Mytilus edulis: one gene and its partner. The protein of the gene in region 2 binds, or shares a complex with, the protein of the main gene of each other region. Links are inferred from orthologs where the notes say so. Each region holds a gene or a part of one and is shown on either strand. Other genes may lie near its edges.

Region 1 (7,071 bases), on a different chromosome or scaffold from region 2:
CAAAGTGAGGATTTTTGTTTTATGCATAAAGTACTTACATTGAACAATTATTTATTTGTGAATTTTATTATTTGATTATTCATTGTTTTCTTGTGCACATTAGATAGTGTGTGTGTGTTGTTGAATGAGTTTGAATGTTAAGCAAGGGATGGTGCAATAAATGTCTGTTATTAAATTCAATAAATATATTTAAAAGCTTTATGTTTATATTAATTATTTGGCCATGATAATCCCTGTTTATAATGTAGATCTATTGAAAACTCTTTTTAGAATTAAATGAGATGATACAGAAAATGATGTAAATGTCAACATATGAGAGATATGAAAAAGAAGATGTGGTATGATTGCCAATGAGACAACTCTCCAAAAGAGACCAAATGACACAGAAAAATACCATAAATGAAATAGAACATTAATCATGATAATGGAATATGTAGACAGCTCTCTCACAAGCAAAAAACCCCTAATTGTAAAAATATAAGGGCATACACTTCAGGCACAGGGGCCACATGCAACTGCATCCACACAGCACAAGTAACACACCCTGCAGTATATAGAGTGCAAATAAAACATGATAATTCAGATACATGTTGTACATTTGTGGTAATCTAGAGTGCTGCATCTCACACAATAAAGAATTTCAAGAATAGTGCTCAAGATTTTAGTTTCTAGAGGGTGCTCATTGTTAATGGTTTTTCCTTCATTTTACTCCTGATACAATAACTTTAAACAAACACTATTCATTGTTGGGATATATTGCATATATATACACATGGAAAAAAGTATTACAACACCAAATTGAAATTGAAATTAAAAAAACACTCTTTATTTTTTTGTGATAAAATTTGTTAAAATAGAACTAGTTAAACATTATTTAAGTATCACATGAGTTTCATCAATAGATATCGACTCGATAAGTTTTTATCTGCACGTGCAGCTACTGTACCCGTAAACAGCAAAACAGATGTTTTCATCCTCATTGTTTTCAACATTTTAAATAACCAAGTTTTTAAAGTTATGTGATTGACACCTTGTAATGGGTCCTTGACAACTCTTAACTGCAGCAAGATGGCAGATTATCAGCATAAGAGAAGCAGGGATGTAGCTGTAACAACTGCACATATTGTTGGTCATCACCATTCGTCGTTTTGAGAATAAAAATCAGGCAATAAACGCTGTTAAAGACCTTCCAAGATAATGAAGACCCCCTATATCATTTGCTAGGGGAAATCAAGTATAATGAAGGTTGGTCAGAAGGAAACCCATTGCATACAGGACAATCCTGAAAAGAGAGCGGTGGCCAAACAGGAGCCTTCTAGCAAGAACTGTTCGAGATCGACTCATCGCTACTGGTTATCGTGCGACAAGACCATTTCGGAGACCTTTGCTAACAAACAGACACACAGTTTTCCGTATGACACGTAGTGCAGAGCTTGCCAAAGTTGGAAATTAGCATCACGGAGGGAGATCCAATGTTCAAATGGAATTCGTTTCATCTTACTTGGCCCGATCGTAGCCCGGATTTGAACCATATCGAGCATATTTGGGACACTATTGGGCGGAAAGTGCGCGAAAGGACACCCCAGTTCAAACACATCATGAAATAAACAATGCCCTTCATCAGAAATGGTTGCTGCTACCTTAGCAACAAATTAGTTGATTTATGGCAGGAATCAGAAGACGTTAAGATGCGGTTATCTGTTTGAATGGAGGCTGCTTACAAAGCACTAATTCTTTGGCGTAAAACGAACAACCATGATGTGAACAGTCATCTGAACATTAATTTTGAAATGTCTGACATTGTAAAGTTCGACTACAGTAAAAGTTGTAAAATGCATTTTTTTGTACAAAAACCCTTGATTTTGTTATTAAAATTGTGGTTATATTAATCATTTTTTTTTCAAATATTTTTTTGTTCGTTTCAATGCCAATGTTATCATTAACTATGTTTCAATAATATTATACATATATTTTATTATATTTCATCTAAAAAAAGAGGCTGATTTTTCAAGTTTTAAAAAATCAAGGTGTTGCAATACTTTTTCCATATGTATAGGTCAATTGGGAATGAGTTTGCATCTTGTTTTGTTATGGAATCATCTTCTCTAAAACTACTGCCTATGGAGCAAATTTAACCAAAGTTGGCCACAATCATCAATGGGGTATGAAGTATACAATTGTGTCCAATGACCTGGCTTGCTGACAAACATGGCTGATTGTCAGTTCTCTTGAAAATTGCTATAAATATATAAAAACTAGCAAAAAAATGACCAGCAAAACATGATCAAACTTGACTGAAATTCTTAGTCTACTGCTTATATGAAGTTATTGCCCTTTAATAAATATTTTTTTCATTTTTTCACATTGTTGCCTTTTATCTCAAAAGCTATATAATATAATAAATAGATAGAAACTTTAAATGGCTTAAATGATAAGTTCAACAGGATCTATGAAAAAAAATGACAGCTGAAACTTAAGTTAACTCATTATTGGAGTTATTGCCTTTTAAAGTTAATTTTCACCAATTTTTTTTGGCATTTATTGCATATATTCTGTAATAATAATGTAATCCTAGATATCATCCTCCTGATCATGGAGGGTCATGGGTTGGAACTCATCCCATTTTTTTTACAATCAATGCTTTTGAATTTTGACATGGTTGGACTCCCCATTTAATCTTGGTTGACACACCCCTTCCTCTCCCCCTTTTAAAATGGCTGAATCCATCCTGAGTATGTGGTGTGGTATAAAAATGAATCCGGGTTCGTTCGCGCCCATTCACGTTCGCACCCACTCATGTTCGCCCCCTTTCATTTTCGCATCCTACATGTTCGCGCCCAATTTTAATTGGTTTTGTGTTTAATATAACTTTGTTATCAAGTTTTGGCAAGTAGTATTCTTATAAGTATAAGTGTTTTCATTGTCTTAAAATAAAATGAGACAGCATTTTTTGTGGTTTGAATAAATCTTAATCATGTTTTGGATAGTGTATTGTTAAAAAAAATAATATTCCTTTCTAAATAAAGTGGGATTCTGTCAACGTTTTATTTTGTGTTGAATAAGTTACTATTAATCATGTTTTGGTTAGTGTATTGCATAACTTTGTTTCATTGACTTGTTTCAAAATGAAGTGAGATTCTGACTACGTTTTCTTTTTTGGTGTGTTGAATAAATTTTATCATGTTTTGGTTATAATAGTGTATTGCTATATTTTATTGTTTCATTGTTTCAGATCAAAGGGACCAAGCTGTTAAAAACAATTATCTTTTGTGTTTTTCATTTAAAATCTTTTACTGAGGGGGGATAGGAGGGGTCTTGATCCCGAAATCCCGGACTTGAAAAAACGAAATCCCGAGGCCCCGAATTTAAATAAAGCAAATCCCGACATCCCGAAATCCGAAAAAAAGGATTCCCGGATCCCAAAAGGGTCAATCCCGAAATCCCGAGCTTAAAAACACCCGATCCCGGAGTCCCGATAAAGGTCCTATCCCCCCTCTTTACTCATACCAAGTTATAAATACCTCAGTATTTACACGAAAGCAATTAAAACAACCATCATGATTTTCCAACTATTAAACTGGAATTGGAATTAAAATTGGGCGCGAACGTGTAGAGTGCGAACGGACCTTGGATGCGAACATGCGAGGTTCGAACGTGTAGGGTGCGAAAGTATATTGGGCGCGAACGGACCTGATACCTATAAAAATAGGTGGTGGGAAGTTGACTGCTTTTAAAGGACCAACTTTTAACAATTTTGGCTGAAAGGAAAAGATTTTAACAGCGGTGGAACTTTTTTTCCCATGTAAAGACTATATAAAAATCATATTTTTCTGCATTGAAAGAGTAAGAAATTAAAAAAAAAATTCTACAGGACCTAAATCCCATTTATAGGACATTTGGTCACTTCAGTTTTTTTCTAGAATATTAACTCATAGTCTTTGGTTTAGAAAGAAAATATTTGATAAAATCAATAGTGACTGTCTGAATGTCCTTGTTCGACTGTTTTATTTTGCTTAATTTCAATGTTACACGGATTAAAAACTTGCTTGGTCCGAAATTGGTCAAGATATTCTATATGTGCCTTCAGTTATCTCCCTTGCGACCTCCAAATTTTGGAGTCTCCGAGGATGTCGAGGATCGGGTACACTCAAGATATGCCCCCGCCTGGGGGATACAAGCCGATACAATATGAAAAACTAATGCCTAAACAAGGAAATGGTATTATTAAATGCTTTAATGTAGTCATAGTAAACATGTATTCGTGACTAGCCTGGGTAACACACCTGAATAAATCAAATTTATTTTTTAAATCGTCATTATAATTCAGTTATTGGTGATTCTGATTCAGTTCAACAATGCATTTATGATCACAGATTGAGCCAGGACCCAGGCTAGTCCACTGATATACATCTTTTCAAAGATTTTTACCAGTTACCAAAATGACATGAACAATGTCAAAAATAGACCGATACATAAAGACTTTTTAAAGTATTATCAAAATATGACGGTGTTGCCATCAAAAACTTACTCTGTGTGTGTACCTGTCTAATGAAAATTTTAAGGATTGCGTAGACCCACACAGTACATGGTTAAACAATTTCTTCACCTGCTTTTTTATTACTAATTATAATCTTGATCATTTGATGATAATACATTTAACGTGACGGTACCCAAATTGCACCTATTTTGATAGTTTTTTCAACTACGTTTTTTTATGATCAAGACAAAAATTTCAATTTTGTGTTTATTTTGTAGCTGTATCCTTCTTTATTATATAGGTACACCAATTTGATTTTCAATTCATATGGAATCATAGAAAAATTGACCTGAACTAACCTCCAAACCATCAATGATTCTGTAATGAGGAGTACCCAAAATGCATCCATGCTTAAATTAGCATCGACAAAAGTCGAATAACAAAGCTTTTGTTTATTTTTTTCAAATGTTTTGAACAATTGGATATTGGTCCATGCCTACTCAGGTTCTTTTTTTAAGAAATGGATACTTGAAACATATATGTATTTGCTAATTTTTAAAAGAAGACGTTTTGATGACGTTTCGGTACATTTTGCTTTTTCAGTAAACACTTCATCTGTTGATAAATATCGTGAACGTTTTGTGTATATCTTAATATGTTTACCTATGTTGAAAGACATGCATATAGTATCAAATCATAAAAATACAAATTGTTTAGTCTCTAGGAGATCTTGTGAGATTTCCGCTGCTATTTTTGCTAAATAGGTGCAATTTGGGTACCGTTACGCTAATAGCCATATATAAAGTTATATAAAGTACTAAACTCACATCAACAGCCGATGATATTTGCATTGCCATAATTTATTCACACTCTTCTTATATACATATCACACTTGGTGTTTACAGTTAATTAGTCTTCATTGGCAATTGCTGTCAATCAATATCTATCAAATTTTGAAAAGGCCTAAGCCTGGGACTTACTTCAATGAGTGATTTTCTAAATCACTAATTCAAGTAACATTATGTCCATAAAGGTTGGAAGAAAGGGTTGTCTTTCTTTATTAATCACTTATTTAAGTAGTACAAATTAATCACTAGAAAGAGTGATTTAATTTTATTGTACTTTAAATATAGAACACTAATGATCCAGGGACTAATTATGTTGCTAAAATTATCAAAACCAACATCTGTGTTGATAGGATGACCGGGTCATTTCAGGTGATGACCTTGTACTGAATCTAGGATAATGACATAAAAATCACTTGTTTTAAGTATTACTAGAACACACCCGCGAAATCGCGGGCATTCAGAGCGTAGTTTAAAGTACATGTAAAGTGTTGTTGGAAGAATTTTGTAAAATACAGAATGACTGGAGAATTTCAGCAAAAGTATCATAAGTCATAGGTTATTGGGGACAGGAAAATGTTTTTTTACCCTCCACCTTTATTTCCAAAGTTCCCAATTTTTGGTTTTCTATAAATTTCAATATGCAGAGGCGGATTTAGGGGGGGGGGGGCAGGGGGCCCCGGTCCCCCCTTTTTGGGAAAAAATTGGTTGCTTATATAGGGAATCACTGAAGCGTGACTGGAGCGGGCCCCCTCTTAGGTCAGTCAGTGGGCCCCCACTTATGAAAATTTCTGGATCCGCCACTGATATGAACATACATTTAGTATGTTATGAACATTTATCTAAGTAAGGAGCCTGTAATTCAGTGGTTGTCATTTGTTTATGTGTTACATATTTGTTTTTCGTTCATTTTTTGTACATAAATAAGGCCACTAGTTTTCTCGTTTGCATTGTTTTACATTGTCATTTCGGGCCTTTTGAAGCTGAGTATGCGGTATGGGCTTTGCTCTTTGTTGAAGGCCGTACGGTGACCTATAGTTGTTAATATCTGTGTCATTTTGGTCTCTTGTGGAGAGTTGTCTTAACATGGCAATCATACCACATCTTCTTTTTTTTATGTAATCAATGAATTTTGTAAAAGATTTAATGATTTAATGACTGAAGAATTTCAGAAAAAGTATCAAAAGTTCACATGAATAATTTTAGCGCTTATCTGTATATTATGAACATTCACTACTATATAAATAAAGCGTATTTACTTTCAATTCTAAGTTTACTAATCGATCCATGGTGATCATTGATATAGTATACAGACCCTCTCTATTTAATAAACTCTGTGACCGCCGTGGATAGTAAACTTGAAAATGATAGCACATAAAATTCTGAAAATACACTTTATTCGTAGTACATGTATATGTATGTTCAAAGTATACAGAAAAACGCAAACCGGAAGTCTAATCTGACTTAAAATTTCGTACAATGACGGGACAATATCCGGATGCCTTTTTTCTTGTTTTTCTCCTAAAATAACTCAATCTGAATAATCATATGAATGGATGACAAATGCGACTATGCACTGTACCTATAGGACACAGAGGCGTGTTGATTAATTTATTCTGGAAAGAAGAGAAACGACACCAAAAATGAGGTCTTCTCGTTTAATAGTTTAGATACATTTGTACCTCAATTTCCTTTCCAAAAATCACTTCTTTAAGTACATGTATCATTATTTTAATAACCCCCACTCAT
Region 2 (6,916 bases):
TCAAGAAAACTATTAAGTGACAAAAAATCTTCTTTTTTTTTTATTAATACATATAGAGAAATATGTATTTGAATTAATTTTAAGATACGGGCAGAAATAATAAATTGATTATTTTTTTATAATATTAAAAGATGAAGAAATTAAACAGTTGTGAGGAAAACTAGAGGCTCTCAAGAGCCTGTATTGCTCACCTGACTTTACTTTGGTTTTTAAATTCATATAAAAAAAGGTAAAAATTTGGCCACAAAGTAACAACACTTGGCCAGCACCCCAAAAGAAACATTCATGCTATGTTTGGTTTCATTCAATTCAGTGGTTCTCTAAAAGAAGTCATTTGTATGCATTTCCCATAGGGTCCTATGTTTCACTAAGTCCCCCGCTGGGGACCATCTATTTGTAAGGAAGAAAGGGATTGTGTAGGTTAATGCTATGATGCTATGATTTAGTCTTTTCCCATATTATTTTCTTATTTTTAAATATTTGTAGTAGGTGTTTAGATTAACATCTCATGTTTTGCTCCTACAAAAAAAATATTTAAATAATCTCGGAAGATTTGGAAAGGTGTAAAAGATGAAGGGTAACATAAACAACTTCACAAAATGTGTAAAACGATGAAGGACAACCTTTTGCATATTTTCAAAATTTCGAAAAAGGTGAAAGGTGATATTTAAAATCTTTTTTAAACAACAAAAGTTAAAAGACGACATTTGTTTACCTTTTGTATGTTTGTAACATCAAAAGTAGCAAGTTGACATTATTGCAATGACAAAAGATGAAATACCACCTTTTGTTCTACGAAAGGTAAAAAAATGTAGACTTCCAAATGGATCACCTTTTGTGCACATTTTGGCTCCTGAAAAATATGATCAAAAGTTTCGTTTTCCTGTAGTGCCCTAAGTTAATAACAGTACACACAATGTGGAACATCAAATGAGATTAATATTTATTTGAAATAAGTAAAAAAAATAAAAAAATTCTTGTCACTAAATAGTTTCTTGTCGCTAAAATCATTCTTCTTGCCGCTTCTTGTTGCTAAAATTATTCTTCTAGTCGCTTCTTGTCGCTAATTAGTGAGACCGTTCTACTATAATAGGGGACTTCGTCCCCATATTACAGTATTATGCAGGTTGGGAACAAACCCCCTGTATGGTGATTATACCTGTATAGAGGGATAATCCTTCTTTAGAGGGATAAAATTTTTGATTGCACTGGATTTAAAGCAAATTAGGGCAGAATTGCATTTTCTAGTTATATTGGCTATAATCTCTAGCATTATATGCATCAACATATGCACTTTACTAAAAATTGGGATAACCAGTTTTCTGCTAAAGTGACAAAACTTGCAATCTATTGTATACCTACATGTATCTGAACACCTGATCAACAACAAAAGGAATAGTTGACCTTAAATTTCATGTTAAATCTAACAATAGAAGTTCTGTTCAGTGAGGCATAAGTGAGTAGAATTTACCTGATCATCACAGCTTTCAATCATGGTGAACAATAGATTTTATATTTAGTCAGATAATTATAAACATCAAACTGAGCATGTGCATATTATGGGGACGAAGTCCCCTATAATACAGTAGAAAATTTTTTAAAAAATCGGGAAAATTCCCAAATTTTTCATTGTACTAATGAACTCAAAATCGTTCAATTTATTTTTGTCGCGTTTTTGAATTTCCAGATCTGTGCTGAAATCTACTTTCGTTTCCGGTCTTGTTTACATGAGACTTTGAATAAAATGTATATTTATCAGTCTAAGAAAGGAAATAATACTAATTCATTTAAAAAAAAAATGTTTGTTATTAAAAAAACGTTACCTGATGACAGCGTTTCTTTGTTTACATTGAATATGACGTCATAACTTAAATAACGTCACAACTAAAATCCCTAACAACAGAACCAAAATCGGAGAAGTTACGGTATTTCCGTTTCTCTTTTTAACATTGTTGATTTTAAAAAAAATCATAGACTTCGTCCCCATTCACAGGTAATGCCTGCCTCATATTAAATTTAGTCCGAGATTACTCTGACGTCCAACGGCTGTTTTGCCAGACAAGCTGGGGCCGTGGGACGTCAGAGCTCGTCCCATATCAAAAAGTGGATATTTGCCCACCCAAAATAGATGCGCTGCTTCGTCAAAATGCAGAAATCGATGGGTCTCTGTGAAAACTGTTAAAATATGGAAAATTAAAAGTTGGCAGGTAGGTGAAACTTACATAAATGAAAAGATAAATGAAAAATGAACAGATTGATGCCCGATTTATATAATTCCAAGGCTGTCAGTCGGCACCAGAAGCGACGAAGCAGCGCATCTATTTTGGGTGGGCAAATATCCACTTTTTGATATGGGACGAGCTCTGACGTCCCACGGCCCCAGCTTGTCTGGCAAAACAGCCGTTGGACGTCAGAGTAATCTCGGACTAATTAAATTAAGTACATCAATTGGTGCATCAACTGTTCCAGGTTACTGCCATAATAAGAAGGGAAAGCCATTCTGCCCTATTTTGATTTAAATCCAGTCTTAACAAAAATACCCCTCTATAGAGAGATAATTTTACCCCTCTATAGAAGGATTATCTCTTTATACAGGTATAATCACTATATAGAGGGTTAGTTCCCAACCTGTTATGTGATGAGAAATTGCATAACAACGTTCTAAGATGAGGGGTCAGTAGAAACCATTGGTTTATTTAAGGACTCGGAAAATAAGCTATAAAGGTATGCTTTCAAGGGGAGAAACCTGTCTGTACTGTAGTGTAAAACTGTTATATTTGGACTTCTGTTATATTAAAATTAAAAGAAGAACTACCTTCGAAGCATTATCACAGTATTTTCCAAAGAACACACCGCTTGCTCTAAGGACAGACGATGTCAGTGGAAGCTCTGGAACTGTCAGTTCCTCATGACTAGGCAAATAATCTTCGTTTGTAAAGGCCATCGGACGGCCTTCCAAGGACAATCAGTGTTAAATTACAACAATATCGGACGTTTTGAACTGTGGTGGTTTCAAGAGCTAACCTGACCATGCTTAATCGAATCCTTAAATCTATGTCAAATCGTCCCATCTTTTTACCAACTCGTCCCATCTTTTACCTTGGTACTCGAAACTTGGAACTTTTATTTCTCAAGATCCCATCAAGGGTATGTGAATCTAAAATTAAACAAATAACAACAATAACAAATAGAAGATGTTTTATTTCCATAAGACGGTCTCACAAAGGACGATAATTGATAAAGTTTTGTTAAGTTTTCATATTTTAACACTAAAAAAATTGAAATTTAATATTCAACTTGCATATTTTCCAAGAAAATGATTGTATTGGATATTTAGCTAAAGGGAACGACCATTTAACTTCAAAGTTTTTTTTTTGTTTTGTTTTTTTAGATATTCTGATCCCCAATTTGATGGGAAAAAAATATTCTGTTCAAGTAGAAAAAAAAATCCGTGTTCAAGTAGATGACAAAAAATATTTTGAATGCAGATTTCCCCCATTCCTTATAGTGTTAAATTTTGAGAAATTTTTTTTTTATTGATAGTTCTTGATAGTGTCGAAAAACTTAATAAATTTAAACAAAATTCTGACTATTCCTTTAATAATTCCTGAGACAGAAAAGCCTTATATTATTTTAAAAAACAAAGATTTGTTTAATAGTTAATTATGACCATATCAATTATAACAGAGGTGCTGACTACTCGGCAAGTTATGTGAAATTGGTGATGAATTTCGACGACGAACAGCAGTTCCTTAATTGGGGGCTTTTGATGATGGGAATTTTTAACGACCTTGCCTGGCTGTATACAACCTTCGCACGGTCGGTTGCAGTTAGGTAGCAGCCATTTAACTTCAAGGGGGATATGGGTTTTTTTCTCCTTAGCTGTATTTGGCATAACTTCAGTAGGATTTTTTGGTTCTCGATGATCTTTAACTTCGGACTACTTTATTTGGCCTTTATATATTTTTTTATTCGAGCGTCACTGATGAGTCTTTTGTAGACGAAGCGCAAATACCAAATTTCAATCCTGGTATCTATGATGAGTTTATTCCTCAAAACGACCTTTTTCTATTGGTAAGTAAAGACCAACTTACCCAAGTTTTTTACCATCTCACCCCAACTTTTCACCAACATGCACCACTTTCTACCAACTCACCCAAATTTGTTTGCCATCTCGCCCCAATTGAAATGTCTCCTTTCTTTAGGTTGAAAAAAATGCAGAAAAAAATAAGTATCAGCTTTTGACGTTATTGATCATCGTAATTATTTTATATTTATGACGCAGTACGTTTGTTTTCTGGTTTGAATATTAAAGATTTCTTCCAACCAGAATTCTGCAGCATACATTGAAATTGTGTTGTATTATGAGGACCATTATGGCATATTTGGGGGGAATATTCACCAGGAAACAATCTGGAGATGTACAGAAGGGACAAATAAAACATGCCCGCATCTTCTTGTAAATAGTTTCCTTTTCTTTTTTCTTTTTATTCACTTAAAATGCAATGTTCTCTCTGACAGCAGGGTTTCATGAGATAGCTATATAAGTTTAGTACATGTACATTCACTTATTCAGGCAAATAGCGCAACAGTCATTTACAGCATTTTTTTTATGACATATCGACCGACATAAGTGCCATGGATCATCAATAAATAAATATAATTATGTATACCGTCAATCATGGCCTCCTAAGCTGAGTACAGTACACAACAAAGCAAAAGTTCAGACGGAAAATGAAATATACTTTTTCCCTTCAAGGAAATAAGAACTATTTCACTGCAATGCAGGGCTTTAAATGTACGAAGGGAAATATTTATTACCTTGCTATTCATTCATTTAAACTTTATGAAGTTAAGACTAGATTATAAAAAGTGAAGAAAAGAACAGCTGGACAATTAAAACTAGAGGCTCTAAAGAGCCTGTGTCGTTCAGCTTGGTATATGCATATTAAGCAAAGGACACAAATGGATTCATGACAAACTTGTGTTTTGGTGACGATGATGTGTTTGTAGATCTTACTTAAATTCTTTACTGAAAATTCTTGCTGCTTACAGTTATCTCATCTATAATGAACTTGGCCCAGTAGTAACAGAGGAAAATATTTTACAAAAATTAACAAAATTTATGAAAAATGTAAAAAATTTGGTCATGTTGACCTATTTGTAGGTCTTACTTTACATTATTGCTTTTTACAGTTTATATCTATAATAATATTCAAGATAATAACCAAAAACGGCAAAATTTCCTTAAAATTACCAATTCAGGGACAGCAACCCAACAACGGGTTGTCCGATTCATCTGAAAATTTCAGGGCAGATAGAAATTGACCTGACCAACAATTTTACCCCATGTCAAATTTGCTCTAAATGCTTTGGTTTCAGAGATATAAGCCAAAATCTACATTTTACCCCTATGTTCTTTTTTTAGTCATGGCGGCCATCTTGGTTGGTTGGCCGGGTCACCGGACACATTTTTTTAAACTAGATACCCCAAGGATGATTGTGGCCAAGTTTGGTTAAATGTGGCCTAGTAGTTTCAGAGGAGAAGATTTTTGTAAAAGTTAACGACGGACGACGAACGCCAAGTGATGAGAAAAGATCACTTGGCCCTGTGGGCCAGGTGAGGTAAAAAAGAAATAAAAGAAAGACAATATGAAATATGACAACGCGAAAACAGATGGGAGACAAACACATCTTAGAACAAGTCAACAAAATATTTCAGACAAATTCAGATTGAGCTACATCTCGGGGTTGAACTTATAAACAGTTCGTTCTCCGTTTACACGTAGTGTCACATCAAAGTTGAAACGATCCCTTCGAAATGTTCACGGACGCCATCACGAGTTGGATGACCGCTATGTATGGTTATAGAACATCTGTTTCACAGAGGACGACGGATTTTCGATAAATATTCGTAACCACAATTCCGTCCTCTTTTCCTCGAATGTGAACCACCGAATGTATCGATCTTCTCATCGGTTTTGTACTTCAATGAACAAGACCTCAAGGGTGCAACATGTCGAGCAGAATCTGTTAACCCTTCTAGAGCACCTGAGATTACACCAATTTATGCTCAGTCTTTAATGCTTTCTATTTTTTTGTGTTTTGTGTGCTGTTATTCGCTTTTCTTCGGTTTATGATTTTTGTTTTTGCAATGGTATCATCAGGTTTTTTTCCCGCCCCTCTTTGCAAGAGGAATCTGACATATTCAAACAAAAAACTGAACATCTATCAATCAAATATGAAAATGGGTCAGAGGTTAAGTGAACCATGTCACACGGGTTACAGGTGTAACTTATAAATATTATTCAAGATATATATACATGGGTTGTTTTACAGGAATAACTTATATTCAAGATAAATTTGTTGTTTAAAGGTGTACCTAATGACCAATATTAAAGATATTGGTGTTGTTTTACAGGTGTAACTTATAAATAATATTCAAAATATATGTGTTGTTTTACAGGTGTACCTTATGAATAATATTCCAGATATAGTTGTGTTGTTTGACAGGTGTAACTAATAAACAATATTCAAGATATATGTGTTGTTTTACAGGTGTACTAATGAATAATATTAAAGATATTGGTGTTGTTTTACAGGAATTACTTATAAATAATATTCAAGATATAATTGTGTTGTTTTACAGGTGTAACTTATAAACAATATTCAAGATTTTTGTTGTTTTACAGGTGTAATAATGAACAATACTAAAGATATTGGTTTTGTTTTACAGGTGTAACTTATAAATAATATTTAAGATATAATTGTGTTGTTTTACATGTGTAACTAATAAATCATATTCAAGATTTATGTGTTGTTTTACAGGAATAACTTATAAATAATATTCAAGATATAATTGTGTTGTTTTACAGGTGTAACTAATAAATCATATTCAAGATATTGGTTTTGTTTT

Evidence for each region.
Region 1: the proteins of NADH dehydrogenase [ubiquinone] 1 alpha subcomplex subunit 8-like (region 2) and NADH dehydrogenase [ubiquinone] 1 alpha subcomplex subunit 13-like are in contact, whole or in part, in a cryo-EM structure (PDB 8ESZ), measured with the Drosophila melanogaster proteins. The link is inferred for Mytilus edulis from reciprocal best matches to the Drosophila melanogaster genes ND-19 and ND-B16.6. Residues at the interface, in NP_001163296.1 of Drosophila melanogaster: Val2, Ile3, Thr4, Asn5, Asn6, Thr7, Thr8, Leu9, Pro10, Glu11, Glu12, Leu15, Asn16, Val17, Gln18, Glu19, Leu20, Leu27, Arg28, Ala31, Phe32, Leu34, Gly35, Asn42, Phe45, Met46, Arg49, Asp54, Pro55, Arg56; in NP_001284943.1 of Drosophila melanogaster: Arg63, Asp64, Ile66, Glu67, Met68, Ser70, Ala71, Asn73, Val74, Ile75, Phe76, Pro77, Ile78, Val80, Ala81, Glu82, Arg83, Asp84, Arg85, Phe87, Leu88, Arg89, Leu91, Arg92, Arg93, Arg95, Val110, Gly111, Val118, Glu124.

Annotation. Positions count from the first base shown.
Region 1 is NC_092347.1:63,213,430-63,220,500, forward strand, and holds the start of NADH dehydrogenase [ubiquinone] 1 alpha subcomplex subunit 13-like, read left to right. Parts: upstream 1-4,062; 5' UTR 4,063-4,127; coding exon 4,128-4,218; intron 4,219-7,071.
Region 2 is NC_092345.1:73,026,285-73,033,200, forward strand, and holds the start of NADH dehydrogenase [ubiquinone] 1 alpha subcomplex subunit 8-like, read right to left. Parts: upstream 3,022-6,916; 5' UTR 2,945-3,021; coding exon 2,816-2,944; intron 1-2,815.